4 linked regions of the Lytechinus pictus genome follow. The protein of the gene in region 3 binds, or shares a complex with, the protein of the main gene of each other region. Links are inferred from orthologs where the notes say so. Each region holds a gene or a part of one and is shown on either strand. Other genes may lie near its edges. The genes, in order: protein UXT homolog, enhancer of polycomb homolog 1-like, ruvB-like 2 and histone acetyltransferase KAT5-like.

Region 1 (7,459 bases), on a different chromosome or scaffold from region 3:
GTAGATTTATAGAACAATCTTTGCATCATGATTGCACAGTGAAAGTATGAACTCAATGCTCACCGTATTTTCCAAGATTTCTGGGGCTAAATTTGGGAAGATTTTGTGGGAAAAGTGAACATGGTGATTGCGGGCATGTGCCGATCGACTGTAGAAAAGAGCACGTCGGCGATCAGAAGAGAGCCTGAGGCTATTTTTCCATTAAAGAATATTGATGAGAATTATAATGTAGACCATGATATATATTTTATCTCCATAACTAGTGAATTTAGCTAGTTTTTGTTATTTTGGGGGGATATAGTCCTTTGCAAATGAGTTTTGGGGTTTGATCATTACAAGATCTAATGCCGGGATCTAATAGAGGGGGGGGGGGGTGAGACTAGAGGATCGAGCGGCCGGAGCTCTAGACCAAATATAAAGTATATTAAAATAAGCTAGTGTGTATATACATATCAATAAATACATATAAATAGGTCTATGACATGCAGAATAAAGATTAAATAAATCCCTGAAATAAAACATTTTATGATGCCATATACAGGGCAGTTTATAATCACTCGCGTCGCGTGCGGGTTCGTAATCACTCGCGTTATGAATTTTTTGCGATTTTTTTTTTCATTTCGGTGCGATTTTTTTTCTAACGGTGTCTTCAATGGGACAAACACGCTGGGAAAATAAAATGAAATTGAAATTCGAGTTTCGTTTTAAGCCGGCAAGTGCCTTAAATAAGATGTACTCGACTTCTGTTTTAACATAACAAACAAGCAAATCAGCCATGTGGCTCAACTAACTTAGAATAGATCCGGACTTCTACTGTGTCTTATACGAGGACTCCGAGTCGGAACTTGCCATATCTGCCACATCGATATTACATCGTATCATTCCCATATGCGGACATGCCTACATGCAATGGCCCCAAGGCGGCCGGACCCGGCCGCGGTCGGACACGACGTGCATCGGTAGCATGGAGCAAGCTAACGTGAGTCGAGCTGAGTTAGATCCCACGTTATATATGAGGCGCCGATTGTACCAATATTATATAGAACAATTATTTGTTATATAATCATTATTCATTAAATAATAACTATTATTTATATATAATTTACATTCTATTTGTAAATAATTACTATTATATAAAATAACATTTCTAATAATTTATATATAATTCCAAGTAATACTTCATTACTTGTAAATAATAATACCAACGCGACGCGAGTGATTACGAACGCGAGTGAATATAATAAGCCATATACAGGCACTATAGTATTCTCCATGGTCTCCCTCAGTCTAACCTCTCTGTAATTTCATTGTCTGAAAATTAAGCAGCTGATGGATATTTAATTCATATAAATTATATATATTCCATTACTTTAATATTATTTTAAAAATTTGCATTTTAAATTAATTTCATCACATTCAGTCACTAATTACTTCTCTCACAGATAATGTACCTTAATTTCATTATTTTTAAAACTTATTTTCTCTCATTATACTTTCATCTATTCTCATCCATTATTTTTTTTATATTTAATTAATTATTTTAATAAAACTTCAGAATGTCCGGCCATGATCCTGAATTACATGCAATTATGTATCTGTGGAGAGAAAAGAAAACACAGCTCGGTTAATATCTGAATAGAGTCATGATTGAGATAATTATTTATGAAACATGTATTCTTGACAATCGATTGATATATTACTAAAATATATAACTAGGATAAAGTAATCAAATCTACTGCAGAGTTTATTATTGATCATGCATCATTTTATTAATTCCTTGGGAATTCCGGGACCAGTTTCCTCCACTGCCTCGCCGACGTACTCTGTCCCTGGGCCGAGAGTGCCCACAGTCCGTGCAAACGGCATGCATACAAGCACACTTTGCACAGCCACAGCCTGGTCTCAGTTGTACAGCTCAGAATACGCACAGACAGTGCGCGAAGATGAAACAAAATTGCACTTGTTTTCATAAAATATGTGGTAATTCTTGCAACTATAGCTAGCACATCTATCTCTGCCACCCATATTTTTAATTAAGAAGAAAAGTGATGTTAGACTACGGAACAAATATGACGAGGCGTTTACTGGAAGTTAGCAAAATTTTGGCTGCGGGCGTCGCTCGAGTTTTGATACACTAAGCCTAATAAGCCTGGAAATCGTACACTTTATTGTCGGCTGCTTGCGTTCGCATGGTCGCATCCGGACAATAGGGGCGCTATTCAGTAGAGGCACACGGCCAATATTGGAGACTGTCTCCAATGTGGGAGATTATCTCCAATATCAGAGACTTTTGTAAAGAATTTGGGTATCCATTTTCAGTTTTGGAGACCAATTTCCTTTGTTTACATTTGCTGCAAAAGAATTACCTTGGCGGCAAATAAAAATGTGATAAGGAGATTCCTCATGAAAAATTAGCCCTTTCAGTCAGACGGCAGGTCCCAAGAAAGTGGCTTCTTTCATCCATGCATCTTGTTTCCTATTGTTCTTCGCCAACGTTACAGACGCGTGCGTCGGGTAACGTTGGGGAAGAACAATAGAAAACAAGATGGCGGCGTAAACATCGGGCAAGTCTCTTCCGTCTTTACACAATATTTCTCTCATTTTTTTTGATGAATTCTTGTTCAAAAATAACAACGAGAGCGTAGAAATGTCGGAAATGAAGTTTTATCCCATGACATGTAGGCCTAGCCTACATGATTTAGGGCTAGATCTTTTAGAAAGAAAGTAGAAATCTCGGGGGCGAAAGTTTCAGGTTTTTTGGTGGTACACACAAAAGTATATGACGGAAGCCCTGGCTTCATGAGAGTGACCTTACGTTAGTAAATGATTTTTACTCTCTAGAAGCCGCCTGGCTAGGCTACCCGTGGCCACTCTAGGCGACACCCCAATACTTACCCGTGCTAATAAACTGGGACTCCACTCAAGCGCATTTGGGCCGCCCTAGCTTAGAACTAAGCAATATTATCTAGAAATTGTTACATTGTAGTCATTAAATATGTTCTATTAAATAAATTGATAATGTTTAATCGGTACTCACCGGTTCTTTTGTTGCATTTTCAGACCATTTCTCACAATTCTTCGTAAATATTTGCGGCAAATTTTGTCGCCATAGACAGCTTAGCATCCATCTTTATTGATAAATGGAGCGCCCTTTACGATAGTTGTTAATGCCGCGGAGAAATCGTTAGGCATTTTGGCCTGTGTTCAAGGCGTTCTTTCTGTTTTATTTTTTATATTGAAGATTGTGCATTTGTTGAATAGATCGAGTGTATAAATACACTCTTCCAAAATAATTATGATTCCGACCTGGCGCTGTTTAACTTCAATCTCTTTCACCTAAATTAGCGATGAATGCTAGCATTATTATAAAATATATATTATTAACGTCTGACGAAAAGAATAACCAACCGATCAGCTGACGAGAACGCGAATCACGTGATCTTCATATCAGCTTCGATCGCGAGTCAGAAGAGAAGAGCAGCTGCCCAGAAAATCAGGAAAAAGCCGTGAAAATGTAAGTTCCCCTTCATTTCTTTCATTTTTTTGTTGTTGCTAACGATGCATTTACACTATAAAATTATAATTTAAATAAGAGAAAGGAATATAGCTTGTACTTGTGATATAATATATAAATATCCTGTTCTCAGAGATTTCTAACCAAAAATACTACTGATGTCGCCTATGAGGTCCATACATGTAATGTTGGACCTCATTGGTAGGATGGGGGATCGGGTGTCCGGACACTTTATATTGTTGAAGCCTTCTTTATTTGTCTTTGGATTACACTAAAAATATGAATTCAATAGTTGTAATCATCTTCCATTTTGTTCTCCATAATATTTCCTTACATTTTGTACGAAAAATTGATGAAACTTCGCTTGTAAATTTTTCCAAATGACTTTCTAAAATTGATCGTCCGGACACACAACCTGTCCGGACACACAACAACTGGGTATACTAGGAGTGCCCGTGGCGTGTGCGAGGGGAGCTTCTTGCAATAGAACTTACACGTTTTACAGTATATGGGACTGTACTAAGGAAATTAAAAAAAAGTAAAATATAAAATCTATGGACTTACCTATCACCAACTTTCTGCAAATCAACTTTTTTCTGACTGGCAAGCAATAAACTAACATAATGTCTTATAATACCAACGAAAAAGGTAATAAAAACTATGGGTAATACCACCCAAATTCTGATATTGGGATCCAAGAGTAATTCGGCCATCTCTATAGTCTATCATCAGCTCAATGAAAATTATTTTTATTTATGTTTTTAAACTCTGTTTTTTTTTTAATTCGTGCAGTTTTTATTTTGAAAATATTAAAAATTTATTTAATTTATATTTTTATACATGAATAAAATTAATAAGATTAAAAAAACTCAGAAATAATTAAATTATAAAGCACTTTTAAACAACATTTACAGTTTTAGTCTCAGTCCACAGACCCCAAACCGGTACATTAGATCTAAAATTAGTAACAGCAGACAGGGATGCACCTGGTCAGAGATGCCTGTATCAGGCCTGTGTGCTGTAGACCACTGACCACTGCCACTGGATCAGCATCAAACTCCTTCTTCAAGTTCAAAATGTCTGAAGATATACCAGAAAAGGTGATTGAATATGAAAGATTCGTCAATGAAGTGCTTAGGAAAGATTTAGAGTAAGTTGTTTAAGTTAACCTTTCATTTTTAAAAATTTTATCATGATTGAAAATGAAATGAAATAACGTTAACAAGTTACAAAAAATACAAGTTAGTTAGGCCCTAGACCATGTAGACTTTTTAACTTCAAAATTCACACAAAATAATAAAAAGGAATTAAATAAAATTAAAATGAGACACGATCAGTCTATAAGTATAATGGGGTGACCATTATAATTTGCACACATTTTAAAAATCATCATGAAGTTGATTTTCAATCAAAAATTTCTAACACTAACAGCTCACACAAAATTAATCAAAATCATGATCATGAATACCAAACGGAAGGCAAGATCAGTCAAATTCGCTTGACGGAATTATAAAGTAGGTCAACATTACGTCAGACCACCGTTTGGAGAAAGACCGCAGTTCAGATTGCAAACTGCGGTACTATACCCCATTTTGCATTCGTAAATCCCAAAATCATTTCCAAGCCCAGGGGGCTGTTTCATAAAGCTGTTCGTAAGTTAAGAGCGACTTTAAGAACGACTGGTGATCCTTTCTCGCGCGCTAAATCATCGCCAATGGTGTGTACCATTTACGGCAAGACAGGATCACCAGTCGCTCTTTATTTACGAACAGCTTTATGAAACACCCGCCTGATCAACCCCGCTAGGCCAGGTAATCCCCGCTGTCTCAATTTTACCTCCACAGGCCAGATTATGAGCGTTGAGCCATGGAGCTATTGGTTGAGCCAAGGACGAAATGATAAACAACAGCTGTGCTATTACGCAAGACTTCTCTGCCTGTCGTAGGACCTTCGGAATGAAATTATTGTATTCGATATTTAATCACGTTTTCAAAGGCATATTGTATTTAGAAATCCAATGTTAGCCCATTTTCAATTTCGAACAAAGAAAATCGACCTCGAAATAAGGAAAGAAAGTGAATTAAAATGACGGCATGCTTTGCAGGGCTGTTGTGTTATCTTCGGACCGAGGTCAAGAAACGGGTGTTTTGATACTTAAATTGCTTGCTTGGGGCAGTTATGGTTTGTCGTACTTGGATAAGAGAATTGATTGAGGGAAACTGGGGTATAGTGTTCTCAAATGGAGGTTTTTCGTCATGAAGGGTTTCGCTCGTATCGCGGTCTCAAAGTTCCATGGCGATCGACTAGTGCGCGCTCTGCTGAAAAAAGTGTCATAAAAAAAGTGTGACCTTAATTTGCGCACGATCGTTTTACGAGGCGTTAGAAAAGAAATCAAGCAGACAAAGGTAACATAATAAAATTGTATCAGATGGAGCTGGAGGTTAAAATGCCATAATTTTGGTTGGTATCACATTTTACTTACTTATTTGGAGACTTCCGCTTGCAAACTGGTGAATTCTTGATGCTTGTCGAGAAGGTCAGATTTTCTCAGAGCAGACGCAAAAGGTAACAATATTTGCCGATGTTTTACCAATATTTTCATTAATAGACCTTACCTTCAAGAAAATTACTATATTGGGTAATTTTAAGTCGCTCTTTCTGTTGGTGATATCAGTTTTTTGTCTCACCTGCATAGCAGAGTGAGACTATAGGCGCCGCTTTTCCGACGGTGACGGCGACGGCGGCGGCGTCAACACCAAATCTTAACCTGAGGTTAAGTTTTTGAAATGACAGCATAACTTAGAAAGTATATGGACCTAGTTCATGAAACTTGGCCATAAGGTTAATCAAGTATTACTGAACATCCTGCCTGAGTTTCATGTCACATGACCAAGGTCAAAGGTCATTTAGGGTCAATGAACTTAGACCATGTTGGGGGAATCAACATCAAAATCTTAACCTAAGGTTAAGTTTTTGAAATGTCATCATAACTTAGAAAATATATGGACCTAGTTCATGAAACTTATACATAAGGTTAATCAAGTATCACTGAACATCCTGCATGAGTTTCACATCACATGACCAAGGTCAAAGGTCATTTAGGGTCAATGAACTTTGGCCGAATTGGGGGTATCTGTTGAATTACCATCATAACTTTGAAAGTTTATGGATCTGATTCATGAAACTTGGACATAATAGTAATCAAGTATTACTGAACATCCTGTGCAAGTTTCAGGTCACATGATCAAGGTCAAAGGTCATTTAGGGTCAATGAACTTTGGCCAAATTGGGGTATTTGTTGAATTACAGCCATAAATTTGAAAGTGTGTTGGTCTAGTTCATAAAACTTGGACATAATAGTAATCAAGTATCACTGAACATCCTGTGCGAGTTTCAGGTCACATGATCAAGGTCAAAGGTCATGTAAGGTCAAAGAACTTTGGCCACGTTGGGGGTATTTGTTGAATTGCCATCATATCTCTATAAGTGTATTGGTCTAGTTCATAAAACGTGGAAACATGACGAAAACCTTTCATTTGAAAACACTATACCCCAGTTTCCCTCAATCAATTCTCTTCTCCAAGTACGACAAACCATAACTGCCCCAAGCAAGCACTTTAAGTATCAAAACACCTGTTTCTTGACCTCGGTCCGAAGATAACGCAACAGCCCGAGCAAAGCATGCCGTCATTTTAATTCACTTACTTTCCTTATTTCGAGGTCGATTTTCTTCGTTCGAACTTGAAAATGGACTAACATTGGATTTCTGAATACAATATGCATTTGAAAACGTGATTAAATATCGAATACAATAATTTCATTCCGAAGGTCCTACTACAGGCAGAGAAGTCTTACGTAATAGCACAGCTGTTGTTTATCATTTCGTCCTTGGCTCAACGCTCATAATCTAGCCTGTGGAGGTAAAATTGAGACAGCGGGGATTAC
Region 2 (7,685 bases), on a different chromosome or scaffold from region 3:
CCCTCATTACTTTAGTACTTATTTCACTTATATTCTCACTTTTATAGTGTCTATGACAAGGTGAGGTTTTCTCTTTATGAGAGGACAAGTACAGAGGTTTCACAACATTATATCATTGATGAATCGTTTGTCATATGATTAGAACGAGCAAAAAGAGATGTTTTGGGTATATTTTCAGTGTCCAAAAGGGGAGAGTTGTTCATCTGTGACATCATAGATCTTGGTCGCATTGCCAATGGGAGGATCTCCATAGCATTAGTGATCTCGACATTCAAATGCTCATAACTCTTCTATTGCTAGTCCTATTTTACTCAAACTTTTGTTGATCTTATTCTTTGATTTTTCTGCTTTCACAAAAGCTAACTTGCTCCAAGAGTTTCATTCTCCTTTAAAGAATGGAAATGGTTTAGGCGTTTTACCCCCCCCCCCCTTCACAGGCTTTTGCAATGGAATCCAGCAAAATCATACAGGTATATGATACAGGTAAAGCTAGGAAAGTAACCCCCAAAATTGTAGGATTGTTCAAATTATTATGGAAAATTTTTCAAACCTCCATTTCAATATTTTTCTTCCTAAAGTGACCCCCGAAAATATACTTGCCCCCCCAAAAAAAAAGAAAATTAAAAATAACAAGTATGTGCATGCATAGGGGTGGGGGCTACCAAAACACCAGTGTTGCTCTTTTTTATTTTTATTCTTACTTTTACCCAAAAAAAGGGTTCGCTTCCTCTTGCCTCTCTGTTTTTTTTATTCTAAAAAAGCAAATATTATAGGCTACCATTGAATGGGGAATGAAACACTTGGAACAAGTTAGCTTGTGTGATCTGAAAGGAACAAAATAATCAATGAAAGTTTGAAAGACAAAATTAATGATATTTAGAAGCATTTGACTACAGAGATCACTCGATGTGGACATTCTCGCATTGGCAATACAACCAACATGTTGCCACACACAACCCCTATAAAGCTTTCTGCAGATATTTTACTTGAATTATCTTTATTTTCCAAGAAGATCCATAGACGAGGTGGTTTTGTTTCATGGGAGGACATTTTAATGAAGGTTTCATAAAATGTATCGTGGGCAAAGATTGTTGCTATCATTAAGATAATGAAAAAAAAAAATGTTTGGGTATATTTTAAATGTATAAAGGGGTGAGTTGTACTCCGGCCGGGGCGGATCCAGAATTTTCCAAAAGGGGGGGGGGCACATTTTCCTTGTGAAAATTTGACAAGCAAGCAAAAAAAAAAGGTCCTCACTTTCAAAAGGAAAACGGTATATTAAGTTAAAACCGTATATTAACATTACAAATTTTGATTATGGCTCTCAATGGGGGGGGGGGGGGGGGGGGGGGGCACGGGCCGGCTGTGCCCCCCCCCCCTGGATCCGCCACTGGTTGTACTTTTGTAATATCACAAATCCTTGATCACATTACCAATGAGTGTCTATCCATAGCATTAGCATTGAGAGTAACACTCATTGCATTCGTGATTCAGCATTCTAATGCTCATTGTTAGTCTATTGTTCTCAAACTAATAATATCTTCTTCATTGTGTTCCTACGTGTTAAAACGTGCTTAAAATGTTCCCTTTCGGGTCAGTATATCACACTCCCATCATTGAGATAATTTGAACAGTAGTTCTTTATTTAAAAACGTCCTAATTTACAGCTTTCAGATTGGAATATAAAATGTTTCATCTTTGCGCCTGTGTCATTTATTGAGCAAGATATACCCACCCTTTTCATGTTTATAAAAAGTGAATGGAATGTCCCTAAAAAATCACCTCACGCATTAATTCTTTACTGGATATCTTGTTCTTTATGAAAAAAATAAAAGGTTATTACATTGTCAATATTTACAGATAGGAATAATTATCAACAATTTTCTGCTCGCGCTTCAAAGCTCATGCACATAGTGTTATTTTAGATATCCATTCTGTTAAAAAAATGCTTAGAATCTCCCGTTTAAGGTCTAAATCGCAAAAAATCAGCTCGCGCTTCGCGCTGCCACAAATTATAAATTTTTGATATTCCGACCTAAAATTTGATATGCACATTTAACTGTCCAAGTTTAGGTCGGAATATCAAAAATTTAACCTCGCCCTTCGCGCTCTTATCAATTGTTTAGATAGCCATCTTGGTCATGGTTACAAAAAGTACTTAGAATGACAAGTTTCCAGTGAAAATGATAATTTTCAGCTCTCGCTTCGCGCTCTCATTGGTTGGTGAGATGTGTATCCTCCTCGATCGTGAGCCTCTGCAAACACTAAGTCCGAAACAGGTCCCTTGACTCCCTTATCATGTCATATTACCAATTTTGGCACGCGCTTTGCGTTCACATTATTTATACTTTATGAGACACCTTATCTTGTTCTTAATAATAAAGTTAAAAATGTAACTGCAGCAGCCTTTATCTTTTAGCGGCCGATCTGGGAAAGATGGATTACAATAATAAATTGTCTTCCGCCCCTAGCCTCACTCCCTCCTATTGGCGAAAGTTAGATCCGTCCCTGGAAGTAACAGAACTAAACATGAGTTCGGGCCTGATCATTGAAAGTAGAAAGGTCCACTTTTTACAATTCAGACCCCCCCCCCAAAAAAAAAAAAAACTGGCTACGGGATATACCCATCTAATATTGTATCATCTCCTACTCTATAAGTATCTTCTGCTTTGTATCTTTGTACAAATAATTTTTTATTAAAAAATGTTTGAAAAAAGAAGGAAGACAATTAGAGGTGGATATTTGTTGTGCGTTATGTGTTCTTTATTTTGTGATGATAAAGATGAAGAGAGGAGAAAATGGTGGTAAGAATGACGACAGTGTTCAGATTTTCACATCAGTGCCATGGGAAGAGCGCCCCCACTTTTTAACTTGTTAAGCAAACGATACTGAACCCCTTTTGAACATGCATATACTTCAATTTAGGGCAAATCAGTTCACATGGAAAATCATTTAATTGACATCCACAAACACACAAAATGATCGAATGGCAACAATTATCCTCATTTTATTGGAAAGGGTATAGTCCTTGCAAATGAAAGAAATGAAGATATTAATTGATATAGGCATTAAAAAAAAGTGAAGACGATTATTTTTCCACTGATATAATAATAATAACGCAGTTCTTGTATTTTTTTTTTAGCGCATATCACATGTAATAACGTCCCTATGCGCCTCCGAAGGACTTGGATATTATTCCCCTGGCTTTAGCCCCGCAGCTTTATACAGCGCGATGGCATTTCATGGATTAAATTTCTGCCAGGTACCCATCTCACCTCGGTTGAGTGCAGCACAACGTGGACGAATTCCTTGCTGAAGGAAATTACGCCCCGATTACGCCATGGCTGGGATTCTAACCCACGACCCTCTGTTTCAAAGTCAGAAGACTAATCCACTGGGCCACAACGCTCCACATATTGATATTGCCATATCCCATCAAAGGCAATTCACTTTAAAATTGAAAAAAAATTATCGAGCTAGATCATAGTGTTAAAGGACGGACTCCATCCCAACGAAAAGTTTATTTTAATAAAAAGAGAAAAATTCAATAAGCACAACACTGAAAATTTCATCAAAATCGAATGTGAAATAAAAAAGTTATACATATATCTTTCGCTAAATTTCACAAAACATGCACATCCTGGTATAACCTTTATAATTATCATTATCCTTTATGTTTGTTTGCGATGGACAGGGCGGGGGGGGGGGGGTAGGCTGCATGGCTAGATTTGATTCTCCAGAAAAAAAAATTGAGACGATCAGAGGCCCGTTGCAGAAACTTTTTGCAATCAAACGCAACTCTAAATATCTTACGCAACTGTTAAAACAAATATTTATGTTTTTATTTTAAATCTTATCATAAAAAAATATGCAACTCGACCAATTATCAAAAGCGTGATGGGCTCAATCATGACTACTCCCGGATTTTTTTTAGACAACCTGCCTGGTTGTCATATTTTATGTTTTCATCTTGGCCTTGATATTTTTATAAATAATCGCTGAAGTCATTTTCGAGTTATTGGTTCAATCATAATAGTAGCCATAGGCGGCGGAAGCGGGGGGGGGGGGGGGGGACGTGTCCCCCTAAATTTGAGGTGGGGGGACGATCCCCCCTAAATTTCTTGTTGATGACCTTTTTTTTTTGTTTTTTTTTTGCTTGTCAATTTTGTTTCCTGCGTCCCCCCTAAAATTTTTGGCTTCCGCCGCCAATGATAGTAGCCAAGATAATAACATAACATGACTTTTGTTTTAAACTTGAGCTAAATGGTTTTTAGGCTGCCTTCCCCTACTCCGTAAAGTTTACCAGGAAAATATTACTAATAGCCTATAGGGCCTATATTTCGATGATTTGTTCTCACCAAAAGCAAAAAAAAAACAAAAACAAGTAGGCAGTCCAAAATTCGGCAAATTGGAGAATGAGCAGAAAAACTGTAAATATTGTTTAAAAATGGAAATATTCAGCTGTTGATAATCTTAATATCTTTGATCTTATAACATTAAATTTTGCTAGAGTCTCGAAAAGACTGGTAAAAACAGTCAAATTTGCTCTTATTCAGTTAAAGCAAATTGCACTATTAAGTTTACAAGCGGTCTAATCCTGAAGTGTACACCGTTCACTACTACTGAAGCCATCAGCTGTTTTTAAATGGTTTAGGCCGAATGCACACACACAATTCCCGGGTTCCGCCGTGGGAACACAACACGTTATGAGATGCGCGCGCAGACGTGATCAATCCAGAGGAATTCTGGGAAGGTTGCGAATTTTTTGTCCGCCATGTTGTTATGTATAAAGGCGGAAAATTTACCGTTATTTTGCCTTCATTTGTGATTTTTAGCACATTTCTCCAGATTCTATCTGAATGAGAGGACGGATGATACCACTATTTCTGACTTCAGCTCGGTGATTTTGGCCTATTTGGCCTATAGAGGCACATTCTGGCATTTTTAAGGGATCGTTGACACTCCGTCATCATGAGCAAGCTAAGTTTTCGAGCTCGGGCTCCCGATCCCGCGAAGCCGATGCCCATCTACACAACAGATGAGCTTCCAGATTTGCCTGATTTTTCCACTACCAATCGGGCAGTTCCTCAAATGCCCACAGGAATGGAAAAAGAAGAAGAATCGGTAGGTTTTTGTTTCATGCAAATTAGTCCGTTGGTCTTGCATATATAATGAGGTTACCCGGATCTGGCGGCCATTTTGAAATCACGCCCTTTTTGGCGGGACCGACGTTTTTTGCGAGACGAATAATTCATATTGTTTTGCGACATTTATTGGTTTGTTTTCAATGAGATATCTATTCACGGTTATTTATTAGATGCTTTCATTATTCAAATTAAGAAATATGTGAACTGAAGTAAGTTGATTCGATTTAGAATTCGATTTTTGAAAGTTTTTTCCTCTGTGAAATGTTGACTTCACCCATTTTGAGAATGGACGGTCCCGCATGCGTCACATGCTAATAATTAGGTCACCGTATTATTTTTAAACCAAATTGAGTTATTTTTTATTAATTTTTTATTTAAACATGTATGAGCTGTTTAATGATGATGATTTTTTTTTCAGCTGTACAAAAAGAAGAAATTTTAAGGTTATGATACACTTGTGATATTTATTCTCCACTGCATGCTCATGAATTATTCATAAGTGGATGATGAATGGTGGACAAGTCCATTATGTGTAGATAGGGTTAGACTTAGAGGGAAAATTTCTGTGTTGTGCAATAAACTCTGACATGTGCACGATGAATGTAAACATGATTTCACTATTAAAATGTACATTTATTTGTTTACATGAAATGATGAGTTGACCTTAATTTGAATTATTGATTCTGAATTTTTTAATGAAACCAACTTGGCCTTTTTTTCCCCTGAAATTAGAAGTCTACATGTACACAGTCACAGTAGATTTACCAAAGAAGTTCATAAGAACAAATTAAGAGCAGAAATGTTATTGACAGGCTGACAAAATCTTAGAATATGACCAATACACAGAATACAGATATTTATTATTTTGTTTGTGCAACTTTTTTTTTTTTAATGTTTAGACATGTGTCCTCCTTTTCCCAATTTTCACATGTCAGATTTTTTTTTTTACAATATTAAACAAATATAGGGGTCTAATGATAATAATTATATGATATTAATAGTAATAATAATGATAATAATTATGATAATAATGATTATAATTTAATAATGATAATGTAATTTATAATATTGATGATGATGATATTAATAACAATGATAATATTTTAATAACAATAATGATAATATTAATAACAAATAATATAAATAACAATAATGTGGTAGGCACTCATTCAATGAACAAGGTTATGATATAACATTGTTCTCTGTTACTATTTATCCCCTGTGTGGAGAAATAAGGTTGGCAATGTTTGGCTTATTTTCTCTTGTTCTTGTGATTTTTTACACTGTCAATTTCCATTACAACTATTCATCGTATAACTTGGCTTGAAGTAAATTGAATTCTTTTGATTATTTTTTCCATATTAAAAATGAAGAATGTAAATGTTTTCTTGCAATTTTACTCTCCACCAATAGAGGGCCTACACAAAAGTATGCCCAAAATTCAAGTTTTTATGCTCTCTGGTGAATGAAAAAATGATCCCTAAGCTATATGAATTAAATTAAATTGCAGATGTATGGAAATGAGTATATTTGGTTACAAAAGTGGTATTTTAATGATTTTTTTTTAATGTGTGTTGTATACTGCATAGATCCACTTGTAGGCCTATACATGTAGATTCCCACAGGCAGGGTGGTTGTAGTGAACAAGTGATGGTAGGGTCTACATGTAGTTATGTTTATTTTATGCGCTTTGACCAAAAATTCTTTTTTTCCTTAAGTTGTGAATTATTAACTTGGGGATCTTTTTTTTTATTCAGAGTGCACAAAAAATGTGATTTTGAGCATTTTTGTGTAGGCCCTCTATTGATTGAGAGTCATTTGCCCAGTTTGCCAATAGCTAAGTTTTTTTTAAGTTTTAAAAAAGATTTAAACTGATAAAAAACCTCATAATTTGACATTTTTAAAATCAACATTTCACAAAATCCCACAAACGTCCAGACTATAAAAATATTATTAGTTTAATTTGTGATGCTACATGTATGTGTCAGAACTGCGGCCAAATGCAACAGGTCGTGTAATTTCAAATCATATTTCAAGATATATTGCAACTTTTATATTTGCTGTTCCCTGTAAAAGTGAGCAATGTGTCTGCTCATATTATCCCACCAGAGGCAGCGTAGAGTAATTCGGGAGTAATTACTACAAAAGCATTTTTCCTTTTGTAATTCACCTATAAGTTTGACTTTAGGAATCTTTGGTCTACAATCTGCAAGAAATATGCAATGAAACACATGTGTAACATATTTTTACCATTGCGGCATCAAAGTGGCAATAAAGAGAAAGTGTTGGATGGTTCCCCTTGTCTTAAAACTCCTTGACTCAACCCAGGTGAGGTACATGTAAATGGGTACCTGCAGGCAGTAATTCCTCAAAAAGTTGTGAGCACCGAAAAAAAAGAATACCAGCTTAGCCAGGGTAATATAGGAGCACCTTGAGCACCTAACATGGTGGATACATGTGCTAGATACAAGTTACGTATTATTTATTTATTATTCATAATGCTGAAAATTTCATTGAAATTCAAATATGTGAAATATA
Region 3 (7,938 bases):
TATTCTGTTTATTTTGAGGGAAAATACGTTTTCCGTGATTTTCCGTTTGAAATGCCACTTTCCGTTTCAAAAGGCCCTTTCCGTAAATTCCGTCCGTTTTCCGCGATCGCGGAAAATCACTGTCCCTACAGTGTATACTATCATAATCATTAATAATGGAAAGCACATTGTCATATGTCCTCATCAAATATTTTGTGTGTGTGTGAATTTAGCCATTTGTGCGCTGGAGGTGACATATGGATAAAATTTGTAATTCTTTGTATATGATATCACAATTGTATCTCATTTAAACACACACTACAAGCAAACAAATTATTCAACATTTGTCGCTTCCCATAATTTCAGCAGAATTAAACTATGACTTTAATAGTTGAACTAGAGCCCATTTCATGAAGAGTTATAACTTCATTGTGATTGGCCCCTAGACCCCTGGACTTAAAAATACAGGAATGGTTATTTTCTACTCACCCATGGCTATAGCTGTTTTACCAGTACCTGGTTGACCAGCAATAAGAACAGCTCGTCCTGCAATTTTACCCTCCTGTAATAAGGGGATAAATAAATACATGTAATTAAAGTTAATCCACCCATGAAAGGTCCTTCATGGAAAATACAATGTAGATCCTAAAGAAACTTTTAAAATCATATCATTTCAAATTTCACCCCAAAAGTGGGGTTTTGCTCCCTGGGTAGTATATTTATATATCATATTATGTAGCCTTTCCTTTTTGGACTCCATAACACAAAAGTTTGCAATCAATAAAAATTGCTGAATGCCAATAATCAATCCTGGGCTCTGTAACACGAAGGTTAGCAATTACCATTGCACAAACACTGACCTGGAACCAATCAAAGTGGTTCATTCATACAGCAGAATCTGCACAAGTCAACCTTACAATGTAAGTGGAAAAATCGCTTAACTTGAAGCATTAATTCCCACCAGAACATGCTAAATATCTTTTTATGAATTTTTCCCAATTTGAACAGATTTCTCTGGTCCCCAGACTTGGGCGGAGTCACCTGTTTTTGCAGTTCATTGCAACCCCTTATGTAAAAGGGCCCAGTTGTCTTTCATACCTTGATCATCTCCAGGATGACTCCTGCGGCTCTCCTGGCCGCCGTCTGGCCCACCATACCCTGGGACACATTCCTTGCTTCCAAGGCATCGTCTAGACCAAGACCCCTGATGTGAGAATGCGCTCCTATCCGCTCGATCCTTGTCACCTCACGAACCTCCTGAACCTTCTGTGCTGTTGACTGCAGATGAAGATAATAATGATAAATAATATTGAAGAAAAGAAATAAATATCTTCTCGTCTTCTCTCATCCACTGCATGAATACAAAGTTACTAGTCCAGCAGTGTATCCACTCAAGATTTTTACATCCGTTTTCGGACTATTACTTTTCTATTCTTTTATTCGAGCAAAATAACAAAGAACACAAGACCTACAATCAACATTGCAGAGACCGCCGTTTTCTGTCACAAACGGTTCATACTTTTCACTTATGGATGAATGCTCCACACTTTTTTTTATTTTTTTTTGATCAGTTTTAATGGCAAACAGTCAAACAACAATATTTTTCAATAGAAAAAACGTTATTGATCAGGTTCACCTTTTCCCCATCCCTTGAGCTCTCTCTGTTTTCCCATTTAATTTTAATGTTTCTATTTGTTGATTTTTAAAATATATTTTTCTTTAAGAATCTACTCGTCTTTTCTTTTCTGTTTCTTTATCATGTCTTCATGATCTCTTTCCTTTTTGTTTCCTCTCTTCTCTCTCTTTTAAAATCATCTTTTTTTTTCATCATCATCTGCTATCATCTTCAAAGGGCTCTGCAGCGCTACCTTGAAAATAAAATTAGAATTGGACGCACGTTATGAGTAAGCTGAGGGGTATTTTCAATTTCAACTTGATTTTGCAAGAGCTTTTCATGCTTTTGGAGGCTGTCAACAGTAGAGGCGCACGGCCAATATTGGAGACTGTCTCCAATGTGGGAGATTATCTCCAATATCAGAGACTTTTGTAAAGAATTTGGGTATCCAATTTCAGAGTCTCCAGTTTTGGAGACCAATTTCCTTTGTTTACATTTGCTGCAAAAGGATTACCTTGGGCTTGGCGGCAAATAAAAATGTGATAAGCAGATTTCTCATGAAAAATTGCCCCTTTTCACCGTCTACTTTTGTTTTGATAAGGATTTTTGTTGTCAATCACACACAAAACAAATGGGCTTCTGACCTCAAGGCTCAGTGAGACAAAATTTCGGGTGGAAAAAAATCATGTTTTTTTGGTGTTGTTTCTTTTGTCCTTTTGTAAAGCAAGTCTCCAATGTGGGAGATTGTCTCCCCTGTTATTGGAGAGAGTCTCCCATTATTGGCCGTGCGCCTCTACTGGTCAAGCGAAAAGTATTTGACATGTATATGAAGAGGGAGTTTAATATTATTCCATTCAGGGACAGACTGTTGGGCAAACAAAGTTAAAAGGGCTGGGTTTGAAAAAGCCTTTTTAAAAAAAAACACATAATACATAACATATTTTTTCCCTTCTGACAATATTCTGAGACTGAGTTTTAAATTCAAATTGTTTTATCTTTGGCTTTGTTGGTCATGTTACTTCAATACTTGTTACTTTGTTAGTTATTTCTCTCCTCTTTTTTTTACTGGATTAACATGACTCATGAGCCTGAGTTCCTTGCATTATTTTTTCTTGACTTGTCTTGGTAACTTTTGGCTCCGAGCCGGCTCTGTCGCTCAGCTCAGCCGCTTTCCTTCGCCTCGGCTTCAGCGGAGCGGTGACCTTCTATCGAATCCTCCTGTATACTCATCTTGGAAGAGATTGGTCAATTACAAAGTGAACCTGCTGACCAAACACAACACATGTCAAGGAATCCTTTCCAAGCCATCTCTTAAGTACTGGCAAGACTGTATACCTCCTTCTGCCAAACTCCTGTACCCGAAAAGTGTACTCTCTCCTGTCTTACGAAGAGCATTTGTGGTGAGAGCTCAACTCCTTACAGCCACCTACTTAACACAGTGTCGTCTCTTCACGCTGAAGAAATCAACCAGCCGCACTTGCCCTCTATGCAAATCTACCGACGAGACTGTGGAACATTTTACTGGGCAGTGTCCCAAGCTAGACCATCTCCGTCAAGTGTTTATTGGCAAAGTCAAGGACTGCCTTGTGGACTTCCCAACATGTGTCGATCTATATGTCAATGCCAACCCACTGGACTTTACTCAGGCCACCCTTATACCATTTCACTCTTGTTTGCCCAAGGAACTACACAATAGTTTACTCCTATTATCTCTCTTTTTCCTCCACAAAATTGATGTATTCCGTACTGACATGGTTCAAACCTCCTAAACCAGAATGACAGCGTATATGGAACATATCTGTTTACCTTGGACCCTAGGAATCTCCAAATAGTGGAGGGATCAGCTAAGAGTAAGAGAGAGAGTCGTCCCGAGTTAGGCCGCCGCGCCGGCTGATCCGTTGTCATGCACAACATACAAAATTTAAACACTGTGCTCTGAAATCGAGCAAAAGTCAATCAATTAAAGTAAGAATTCAAATACTACTAATTCAACTGTCACTAGTATATAATCCTCCTCAGTATCCCTACGAACAAATAAAATTCAACAAATCAATTAGGCTACAGAGTCATTTATTTCATCAAGTTACGAGTCAAATTTACAAAACCCACGCGAACTTACCGCTGCCATTTTGATCTGTGATGACAACGCTAGCTGGCGCTTTACCTCCGAAAAAACGTGCGAAGGGGAATTCCCTGCCGCTCGACAGACTATTTCTTTGTGCTTTTGGCTTGCTCGAATTTTATCCAGGTGATAGTAAATTTTGAAAGCAAGAGCTGAGCCTGATCTGTGAATTTAGGAATGCCGCTAGGTAGCTGCCAAAGTATCAAGATCGATTAGGAATGTGAGCTGAGCTAGGTAGGACCGCTGGGGATAGTCGCACAGGCCATGTGGATTATCATTTTAATGCCTCGATCACTGGCGTGCGCGATTTAGTTTGGGCGCATGTGAAGCGGGTTATAACACATTTTCTTGATACTCGTATCCTAATTGCACATAAGCTTCATCGCATGTTCCAACACATGGGTTGTACGAGTATCTTCAACTTGAGCGAGCTGAGCGTGAGTGATCTTGAGTTGGCATAATTATGCAGGGTGACCATATTTCACAAAATGAAATACGGGACAATCGACAAAACATAACAACTTAAGTCTAAACAAGAAGGATAAACAGTGTTAGACTTGTGAAAAATATATTAAATAATTGGAAGGGCGGGTGAACGAAAGAATGAAGAAGAGAAAGAAAAGATGACAGAAAAGAAATGAATTGAGAAGAAAGACTGAAACTAAGACAAAGTGAAGGGAAAAAATAAAAGAAAGTTAGAAAAAAAGAATAAAAATTAAAAGAGAAAAATGGTATCCATCATTCGATCTGTGAATTGAATATAGAAAGGAAGGGAAGATGAATAAATGTGTGAAAGATAAAATGAAGGAGAGAAAGAAAGTAGGAAAAAAAGGAGGAGGAAAGAAAGAATGAAGGAAATAATTTTTGTTCCTTCATTGAAAGAAAGGAACATACGAAGAAAAACGGGAAAGGAGGAAGGAAGGAAGGGAAAGAAAGAATAAGGGAAAAGAATTATAAGGGATAATAAAATAAAGAATTAAAGAAAGGAGGAAAGAATGAAGGGAGGAGAGAATGAAATAAAAAGAAAATAATGGAAGGAGAAAGAACGAAAAGAAAAAGGAGAGGAAGGAAGCAAAGAAAAGTTTAAGGAAAGCAAGAATGAAGGAAATTTAATAAAGAAGGCAGGTAAGAGAAAGAAGGAAAGAAAGCAAAATGAACACGGAGAGAAAGGATCAGGAAAGAAAGATAGGAAATAAAGAAAGGCGGAACAAAAAAGGCAAGGAGGAATAGAAGGATGAAGAAAGAAGGATAGAAAAGAAAGAAAGTTCAAATTTAAAGCAAACAAAAACTATCCAATCTAACAAAAATCATAATGATATGGTATAATCGTGATATAGTCCCCAAATCCAAAAATGGGGATTATTAGATTCGCACAGCTCGAGAACTTGCGAAATGATAACACACACAAATGAAACACACTTACACTTGGGTTCTCTCCCTATTATATACTCGTGATACAGTCCCCACTCTACGGGAAATCAAGTTTGATTTTCACGGCGGTGGGGACAGTTTCAACAGTATAGTATACTCGTGATGCAGTCCCTGTGCTATGGGATACACAGTTCACTTTGCACGCAGTGGGGACAGTTCCAACAGTATAGCTATACTCGTGATACAATCCCCACGTTATGGGATACACATTTCATTTGGCACGCAGTGGGGATAGCTCCAACAGTATATTATCCAAACAAAGTGTGTTTCATTTGTGTGTGTTATCATTTTGCAAGTTCTCGAGCTGTGCGAGAGTTGGGGACTGTGTTCTGGAGAAAGGAAGTGACTTTCATGCGTTCTGGTAGGTGTGATTCTAATAATCCCCATTTTTGGATTTGGGGACTATATCATTATGCCAATGATATTTGGTGTTTTAAATATATTTTAAAACTTTTTTCAAAATGAAATGTTTTAGAAATGAATAATCTGAGAATCCATAATATAATTACCGGTAATGGCAATGCAGTTTCGCACTGGCAGATTACCAGCATGCATACCTCACTACCAGTAACGTTAATTGTATGCAAATGTTGTGGCAAGGCTCTCAGTGACATATTCCAAGGTCAATGTGACCACCGGCACTGCTTTTCCAAATATTACATTCAGGAACGGTTGTATTTAGCTCCGATCTCGACGTTATTGTTCAACTTCTCAGTCAGACTTCGCTTGGCTTGGCTTCGCCATAATTTTGATATGAACTGAAGTTGGCGACCAAAAGATTTGCCTGGCCTGCGTGTGGCATGCGGCAGCTCACCAGCCCGTTTGTGTGCCGCCACATGTGCGCATGATTTTGGTTGCCAACTTCAGTCCAAATCAAAATTACAGCAAAGCCAAGTGAAGCAATATCTGACTGAGAATTTGAACGACGTCGAGATGCATGGAACCCGAAATACAGCCGGTCACGATATTTGGAAAAGTGGTGGGCATACTGACCTTGAAACGTGATTGAGGGACTTACTATGACATTTGCAAGCAAGTTCTGTGGTGAGGTATTCTGGTAATCGGCTGGTGTGAAACTGCATTAGTGCTAATGGGAGTTACAAAAACTTAAAAAGGATAGTCTGCCCATATGGCATTTATAATAAGTACCTTGGGTTGATACGAGTCGAAGGGCAGGGACAGGTTCATGAGTTTGCTAGGATTATGAACAAGGCAGAGGGATTCTTGTCAACACACCCTCCGGCCTGCCCTATTAAAAGTGAAAGAAAAGGAAACAAAATGCTAGGAAACAGGGAAAAGAAGAGGGGAAGAAAAAATAGCTGTGCTGAAATGAAAGCCCTGCTTCCGCTCCCTAGGATATAATCAGTGGGATTAAAAAAAATTAACAAAAATTGCATTGTTACCCTAATGCAGTTCAATTTTCATCTGTATCACTTCATAGGTTTGAGAAGATGTCCAGCCAGGATCACCACCCAATTCACTCCGGAGATAGAGGGTCTCGTCCCCATCAAGGGGGGCGTGGCAAGAATCATCGTCAAAAAAAGAGGGGTCACATGAAAGGTCAAGGGAGAACAAACGAGGGGCAGAGCGAGATTGACGCATTATTCAACAAGGCGTTCACTTTTCAGAAGACTGATGATGCCTTGTGGAGATTACCATCCAAGGATCAATTATTCTGCAGTGCTCCAGAATCTAATTCACAAACACAGGTAAATTTTGATCTCTCTTATGGCGTGTTGCAAGAAACCTGCCAGCAATTACAAGTAAATTTTTGGTCCCTAAATCAATCATGTCATGCAGTTAATTGCAAATTAGTGACTGATTGCTAATTTGCTCCTTGAAACAAGAAGTTTAATCTGATTTGCTACAGCTAATGGTGATCTATCAATTGTAAAATTGCAACAGAATATTTGCAATTGATCGCAAATATTTTTCTTGCAACGCCCCCTATGAAATGACTTCAAAGTCCAATGGGCATCAGCTTTCATAGGTCATGCATTGCTTATTTGCTGACCCCAGACTTTGTGAAAAATATTGAAAATAGCTGTAACAGAGATATCTTTTGGGAAAAGCTAACTTGGTGAAGGTAATTGATCAGTTACGTAATTAATTACATTTTTTAATTGTAATTGTATTTGAAATCTGTAGGGAAAGTAATTGTCATTGACCTCAATTACTGTCAATAACTTTTAATTACATTCAGTTACTTAACAATAAACTTAATTATGATTTAATTCAATGACCCTTTTCATGTCAACTGCTTCAGCTTCAAAGAGTGTAATAGGCAGAATCTGTGCTCTTTAACATAAACCTTCATCTTGTCAGATTCTCTGTAACCTAGAATTGTTGAAATAGGTGGTGCTAGATTGCTAGTACATACAGAATACAAAGTGATTTCATTTATGACTTATAGAAAGTAATTGAAATTGTAACTGTATTTGACAAAAGTAATTGGTCATTGCAATAAAAAAAAAAGTGATTTAATTGAAAAATAATTGTAATTGAACATTTCTTCAATTAAGTAATTGTATTTAAAGAAAGAAATTGAGCCCAACCCTGGCAGCAAGAAAATTTTCGGCCAAACCTGCTTAATCTCAGGCTACTGTCAGGCCAAAGAAAATGAGATAATGAGTTTACAATAGGGCAGTTTTAAAATGGTATTACAGAATGTATTCTGGGCCTTATTCTCTTTCTACTTTTGGTAATTTATATGTGATTGATGTCTAATTCCCCATGAAAACAGACAATAATCCCCTTTTTTAAACATGAACAGTCCATCATTTAATTCTTT
Region 4 (6,934 bases), on a different chromosome or scaffold from region 3:
GAATTACAGCATATCAGGATTCAAATAAAAACTTTAAAAAGAAATGCCACTCAGCCATTTTCGTTGTTGCTGTGTAATCCTGAACAAACACAATTATGTCCATGATGGAGCCTTTTCAAAAGTCTAAATTGTATGAGGCTTACCTTTTTCCCCTCTCACAAAAAAAGCAAGACATTGTTGGAAGTGAAGTTCAATTACTAAAATAAACAGATTGCTGCAGGAGAGCAAACAAACCTTTTGTTGAAGAAACTTGAAGCACTGTTGGTTCAGGACTTCTACAAATTCTGACTCGAACTCCTGATCACTATACCATGTTCCGCCGGTCACTGAGGGGTCAGGGGTCAGATTAAAGAGCATGTATGCCTTTTTCCTTGCTGCCTGGATTTTAAATGAAGGGAAAATTTGTGGAATGTACAATTTTTTTCATAATCCAACCCATAATATGGATCATATCATGGTCTAGTGGTTAGAGCATTGGACTTGCGTGGTTTTGAGTTCCAGTACCTGCTTGGCCATGGTCTCTACTTTGACCTAACAGGCCCTATAGTAATTTATGTCGTCTAAAACTGGTCAGCTACTATGACTGATTATATTTGTGATATTTTGTTTGAATCTAGATTTCCATACTGCACCACTGATACAGAATAATAATGCACATATGCTATCCAGGGGCTATAGACATTTATTAGCTTATCCAGCTTAAAGATAAGGGAGAAAACTAATCATTGCAATAGATTGCATGAGCAAAATGTCAACATTAGCATACCAAAAGGTTAATAAACACCTACCCCAACAGACTTGACAGCCTTGATGAGTTTCCTACTCTCTAAATTCTTCAGAATCTTGTTGAGTTGAGTTAGTTGTAGATTGCTCTTTAATCGGATATCTCGTGTCCATATTCCCTTGTTGCCTGATTGCTCGATGATCTGATATACAAGACGTTCCTGATTATCAGCTCCTTTGATTTTACTACAAAAATAATATAAGCAACAGTAATCATTTAACAAAATTTTAACATATAACATAAAATAATAGTTCTCATATAATAAAATGATGATGACAGCTATCACGTTGTATACATCTTCATTTATCAAATGATAAGATACATTTTCAATGCAGATTTGAATCCTGGCTAAGTATTCACCCCCCCCCCCCCTCCCATTAATAACAAGTTACAATAAACCAGTCTTTTCTGCATCGACCAAATATTTCATTTATCACATGAAACCCTTATACGAATTACCAGGAAATGACAGCATTGGTCCAAGTCAAATAGTGACACTTAAGTTCATTCATTTCAAGGAATAATGAATGGAAATTACCTTACAACACCAGGATCCTTCAAACGGTACAGCAATTCAGTGCTTGTCTTCACCAAGTCTATTTTACCCTAGATAAAAGAAAAGGATGCAAATTAGATTTCTTCATCAAATATGCTCTGAATTGTAAACAAATAGGAATTACTGAATCAAAATTATGTTTTTCATATTTATTTTGAAGGTATACCTTTGAAGGTATACCTTTTGGAGTCATTGTGTTGCTTAACTGAGAATATATTCTCAGATTAGCAACACAATGACTCCAAAATATAATGAATGCCTCTGACAACCACCTTCGCGGGGGAGGGGGGGTGAAAAAAGAAACTCACTGATGAAAGAAGTCTGTTGACAGCCGATACTCTCTGTTGAGCATCAATGTTTGGAAGTTGCTTCTGAATAGCCGAATCTCGAATACCATCTGATTCTCCTTTACATAGTTCCAGGATTCTGTAATTTGAACAAGAAAACAGATTACAAAAGTTCAAATTAATTGGTTACTGTTGATGAGATAGACCATAATGTCTTGAGATACAATGTAAATTCAAAATAATGGAAAATCAACTGTTTCAAATTCACATTTATAAAAAAGTGACTATGTCAGGTATTGACAGCAAAATAAATAAGCCTTCAAATCAAATAATGCCAAATTATCTGCCTGGACTAAAAGAGAGAGATTAAGTGACACTGACTGTATTTTATTCTAGTCTTATACACTCTAGGACTAGTAGGAGGCAGTGAGTGGGAGTCTTTGGGACCTAAAAAAAGGTTGAAAAAAGCTGCCAGCGTAGTAAGACTTTCAAGTACCATTGTACAAAATCCACAGATATTTAATAAAAAGTTTTACCTTAGATATAATTTGTAATATCTAAATTGCAATAAACAATAATAATTTCACTCAAGGAAGTTCATATCTAAACGAAAAAAAAAACTAGTCGTCATGCATTTGTGTACTGCCACGGGAGGCGACTTTCTACAAGTGCACCTCCCCATATATGTACGATTGTTGACTATGAGGTCAATAGGTTACGTTTTGAGTCACTTTTGACCTCATTGGTACTAGAAGTGGTCTTATAATTTAGATAATTTCATTGCAACTGCAATGCAACTTTCACAATCCAGATTCCAGGTCCAGCCTCCAGGACTGGACTCCAGTCCAACATTTTTTTACACAGAAAAGGGCAAAATTCATAAATAGCAACAAAAAAAACAAGTGACAACAAAAGTTTAAGTTTTCGTGTCCGTTTCCTTCATATCAAAAGAACATTATGACTACCGGTACTTTTCCAAAAATCTAATGGCCCGTATTCTGAAGTCAGGTTTAACTTAGACCATGGACGGTCTAACTCTGTGCTAAAATTATGGGAAGCCAAAAGTGTCAAAATGTTTATTAAGTTGTATGTTTTGTATGTTTACTGTGCTCTTTCCTGATTCATCGATGATGAAGACAATCAATTTTAATTTTATACTTCCTAGACAATTATCAGGATTATGAATGATTTGAGAGCCAAATGAGCTGAAATATGATATCTCTACTGTTAATAGTGATTTATGTAACCATTGGCTTACCATACTTAAACCACAACTTAAAACCTGAGTTTAAGTTAAACCCGACTTCAGAATACGGGCCAATATGTTTTAATTTTTATATGAATGTGAAATTGAAAATAGCAATACTAGCTGTATGGCAGTGTATCCTATTGCCGGACACCTTTATTTCAGTGCTTTAAAAATGACAACTAGAGGAAATACAATCAAGAAAAAATCACACTTGCTATTCCAAATATTATGAAAATTATGAATATGATAAAATTATTTTATAATTATATTTACCAACCATTTTCTTTGCATCGCAGTTGCCGCATACCCCTCCATGAAAAACAATTATTTTCGTGCGCGACAAATTACATCATGATTCCGGACGCGCGCCGGACGGGTAAAGATATCCTTGATTATAATGATGTAAGAGCAAATTTGTGTGATTTTTTTCTTCTTATATCATATCATGAGTAAATTCTAAGTATTATTTGCTTTTTTATATCGAATCTGAGCAGATGTTGGTAATAAATTCGTGTTTGATAACTTATTTTATTTTGTCTTGTTAGCTGCATGTTCCATGGCACTTTCCAATAATAATATGCTCGCGTTCGTATCATATCGTGACGCTCATCAAGTTCTATCGATGCGCTGCCGATCGACGGCTCTACTCACGGTAAACCTCGCGCACGGGTACCTTGAGAACTAGCCATCGACGATCACCCACAATACACCACACCTCATCATTCGATCGAAGGAGTGGACGAGATTGAAATTCGGCAAATCAGGCCCATATTTCCGTTAGAAAATACATCAATTGTTAATACAAAACTATGTTATAATATGATATTTTAACTTTTAAGCATTTTCTGTCATTTTGAGAGATAATTAGGTAAAAGTTGGATTTTTCGCCTTGTTTTTGCAATCTTGTTCTATGTATTGCTCTGTGAAATTGAATTGCGGAAGTTTTACGGTACGAATTTGTTTTAGAACGCAGTAATATGCGCGTCCGGAATCATAATAGTGTCCGGTATTAATACAATACGTGACTATATTACAACTACAAACTTCCAAAACCAGAGCAAACAAAACAGACATCAGGTGGGACTGAAGTGAAGCACGACCTTTTTGGCTAGAAAAAAACAAAAATTTAAACATATAATGCAAAATTAGAAAAAAAAATCGATCTAAAATGCATATATGATACGGCTCATACCTCTCCTCTAGATTCATAGCATCTGGTGATTCCTTCTTTTCTCCTGCACTCATTTTACTTTATCTGTGCTTCTTTCTTGGAGTTGGACAAGAAAATTTTTTTGGACAAGCCGTCGGCAGTGGAGTAATTTTGAGAGAAAACACACAAACAAAATGGCGGAAAATAATGATTCATCGATAAAAACTGTGAGTTTTGCTCGTTTTTATTAATTCTTTTAAATTTTTATTGTGCCCTATTTATTTGAACTTATAATCGCAACTCTAATTTTCTTTTCAGGAAGATCTGGTGGTTGAAGGATGCCGCATGCCTGTAAGAATGAAGCAAACGGATGAGTGGCGTAAGTTCTCTTTGGATTTATTTCATTTTGGTCCCATGTGTTGACTTTTGCGTTTGCTATATTGGTGAAATTTCTTTGTATTTATTTACCTAGGCCCTATGTCTTGTTTATAAAGTCACGTCCCTTCTCAACCATGAAATGGACCAAGGATTTAAGGACATAATATTTTTCAAAATCTTTGTAATATCCAACTAAATATGTAAAGTGCATGTACATGTAAGTGCTAAAAGAGCATTTTAAATAAAAATAAAAACATTGCCAATTTGCCAAAAAAGAGGATGCTTAAGCCTTAACAATAACATGCTAAGTCTTTAAGATAGGTATGATGGGGTGTCCAAACTTCGCGCACTTTTCAAAAATATTCATCAGGCTTATTTTTGTTCACAAAATATTCATAATTTATACAAAACCAATTCAAGAAATAGTTACCACATTGACGGCAAGATCGTAAACTATAAAATCATGGACGAAAATGTAAAGTAGGTCAAGGGGTAGACCAAAAGCTTCAGTCTCTGTATTTTGGTTGTTCCGCTGAACTACGTTGGCTCCACTCACCATACATAGACTGAAGGGGATGGGGCCCCGTACCTACAGCCAACGTATAGTGAACTAGCGTTTTATAGATCGCGATTTAAAACTGTTTTTTAAGCAAAATTGAAAGTTTCATCATGGTTTCCATTATCAGGGAAATATGAATAAATTTAGTAATTGCATACCTTGGGCCGGAGTTATTGAAAAAAATCCTCTGGATGATTGAGAAATCTGTCATCTAAGACATTTTCACCTGACCTGACGGTTTTTCTTGCAAGTTGCCATCTTGAATGACGTCATTATCGTTATAAACTTAATGTCTCGAATCGATATATCGCGATTATAACTAGTACTAGTACTAGTATAACTAGTATCGTTTATCTTCGGTTTCGATCGCATATGGAGCAGATCGTATAATATCGAAAGCAATATCGATATCACATTCGTGATTGTTGACGTTCGTTTGTAAATATTTTATAGTTTGGCTGCCATTTTGACCATTTTTATCGTGTTCAACCCAATTAAACATCGGTAAAGTATATTTTTCATGCCTTTTTCATCTATATCGTTTAAAGTATTTAAATATTAAAATATTAAATTTTACAAGTTTGTTGTTTATACATCCTTAGATTGTAAATTCGATGTGTAAAATTACATCAAACTTTGGACTGTGAATTGACAAAAGGGAGGGAATGAGAACACATGCGAGCCCACACGTACACCCTACCGTCGGTAAATGGGGATTACAGTAAAATGTCAGAAATTGTTGAATAAATCCCCAGAAACGACGGTTATTCCTGTCTAGTCAAGGGGTTTCGCCGGTATCGCGATCTCAAAATTCTATTCCGATCGGCGAATGCGGGCTGTGCTGGAAAACCGTTCAGAAAAAGTGTGACCTAACTTCGCGCACCAAAGCTTTTGTGGAGATTTAAACAAAAAATCAAGCTAAAAAAGTGAAATATTTATATCAGATTGATGGCAAAATGCTATGGAATCGGTTAGTACCACATTTAACTCACATTTTTTATGATTTCTGCTTGCAAAATGGTGATATCGTGATGCTTGTTGATTTCTTCAAAACGGGCGCTAGCGGTGGCAAATTTGCCGATCTTTTGCCAATATTTTCATGAATACTGAACTCATCCTAAAGAAATTTTCACTATAGGGTACTTTTAGGTCGCTTTTCACGTTGATGATGTCAGATTTTAAGGATATTGGCTAGTTTTTTAAATAATGACCGTCCGCGAAGTATGGACACGCGCGAAGTTTGGACATACTGCCATATATGTGACAAAAAAAATAAAAATCATGGAATTACATTGTAACCTAGCTCATTGGAAAGGGCTGAAAAAAACATTTAAAATGGTATTATTAACCATTACTCTAGGCCAAATATTAAGAGAGTTATGATTTTTTAAATATTAAAAATCTGATTTAATTATTGCTAGGCCTAGACACTTCAGCCAGGCGGGCGATTGCGCGGACACAGCGCTAGACGTAGATTTTTGCATTGCAGTGAATGGCGAGCGCATATCTAACACACACAGTTCGCTCCGCTCGACACTTTGGCCGAGCGCTGGAGTTGCATTCGGCATTGCTCGAAAAGACAGAGTCAGTTTCTTCCTTTATTCCGCTGATTGTGATTGGTCAAAAATTCCCGCGGTTGCTTTGTACATCTTCGGTAAACATCGGAAATATATAAGATGGAGTATCACTTACCTTCATGCGAGGGAAGGACCTAATATTCAGGTATTTATTTTTCTTTGCTTGAAATCACCTTCTTGTAATCATCGGATCTCTTGTAAACTCGGTCAGTAATAAAATTGTATATTTGAGAACATTTTGTTAAATTCTAATTAAATTTGGTCCGTAGAGAGCCTGCGGATATGAGCTTCAGTTTTGAGTGTCATGAGGTGTTTGTGAATCTGACTCGGCCGATCGAGCAGGGTTGTTTTGAGCGTATACGAACAGCTGTAAGTGACGTCATCCCCACTGCGT

The links.
Region 1: ruvB-like 2 (region 3) and protein UXT homolog share a complex: the UniProt entries of both Homo sapiens proteins name them as parts of the PAQosome complex. The link is inferred for Lytechinus pictus from reciprocal best matches to the Homo sapiens genes RUVBL2 and UXT.
Region 2: ruvB-like 2 (region 3) and enhancer of polycomb homolog 1-like share a complex: the UniProt entries of both Homo sapiens proteins name them as parts of the nuA4-related complex. The link is inferred for Lytechinus pictus from reciprocal best matches to the Homo sapiens genes RUVBL2 and EPC1.
Region 4: ruvB-like 2 (region 3) and histone acetyltransferase KAT5-like share a complex: the UniProt entries of both Homo sapiens proteins name them as parts of the SWR1-like complex. The link is inferred for Lytechinus pictus from reciprocal best matches to the Homo sapiens genes RUVBL2 and KAT5.

What each region holds. Positions count from the first base shown.
Region 1 is NC_087247.1:51,229,320-51,236,778, reverse strand, and holds the start of protein UXT homolog, read left to right. Parts: upstream 1-4,436; 5' UTR 4,437-4,494; coding exon 4,495-4,664; intron 4,665-7,459. UniProt on the Homo sapiens protein: Involved in gene transcription regulation. Acts in concert with the corepressor URI1 to regulate androgen receptor AR-mediated transcription. Together with URI1, associates with chromatin to the NKX3-1 promoter region.
Region 2 is NC_087247.1:14,834,766-14,842,450, forward strand, and holds the start of enhancer of polycomb homolog 1-like, read left to right. Parts: upstream 1-4,665; 5' UTR 4,666-4,971; coding exon 4,972-5,124; intron 5,125-7,685. UniProt on the Homo sapiens protein: Component of the NuA4 histone acetyltransferase (HAT) complex, a multiprotein complex involved in transcriptional activation of select genes principally by acetylation of nucleosomal histones H4 and H2A.
Region 3 is NC_087253.1:12,090,774-12,098,711, reverse strand, and holds the start of ruvB-like 2, read right to left. Parts: upstream 3,005-7,938; 5' UTR 2,990-3,004; coding exon 2,930-2,989; intron 1,258-2,929; coding exon 1,078-1,257; intron 542-1,077; coding exon 469-541; intron 1-468. Other genes in the region: uncharacterized protein LOC129267757, read left to right, coding at 6,599-6,856. UniProt on the Homo sapiens protein: Possesses single-stranded DNA-stimulated ATPase and ATP-dependent DNA helicase (5' to 3') activity; hexamerization is thought to be critical for ATP hydrolysis and adjacent subunits in the ring-like structure contribute to the ATPase activity.
Region 4 is NC_087251.1:35,558,632-35,565,565, forward strand, and holds the start of histone acetyltransferase KAT5-like, read left to right. Parts: upstream 1-3,933; 5' UTR 3,934-4,068; coding exon of another isoform or gene 4,069-4,121; 5' UTR 4,122-4,220; coding exon 4,221-4,253; exon of another isoform or gene 4,254-4,344; coding exon 4,345-4,405; intron 4,406-6,934. Other genes in the region: DNA-directed RNA polymerase III subunit RPC6-like, read right to left, coding at 235-378, 789-969, 1,323-1,390, 1,649-1,766, 4,069-4,121. UniProt on the Homo sapiens protein: Catalytic subunit of the NuA4 histone acetyltransferase complex, a multiprotein complex involved in transcriptional activation of select genes principally by acetylation of nucleosomal histones H2A and H4.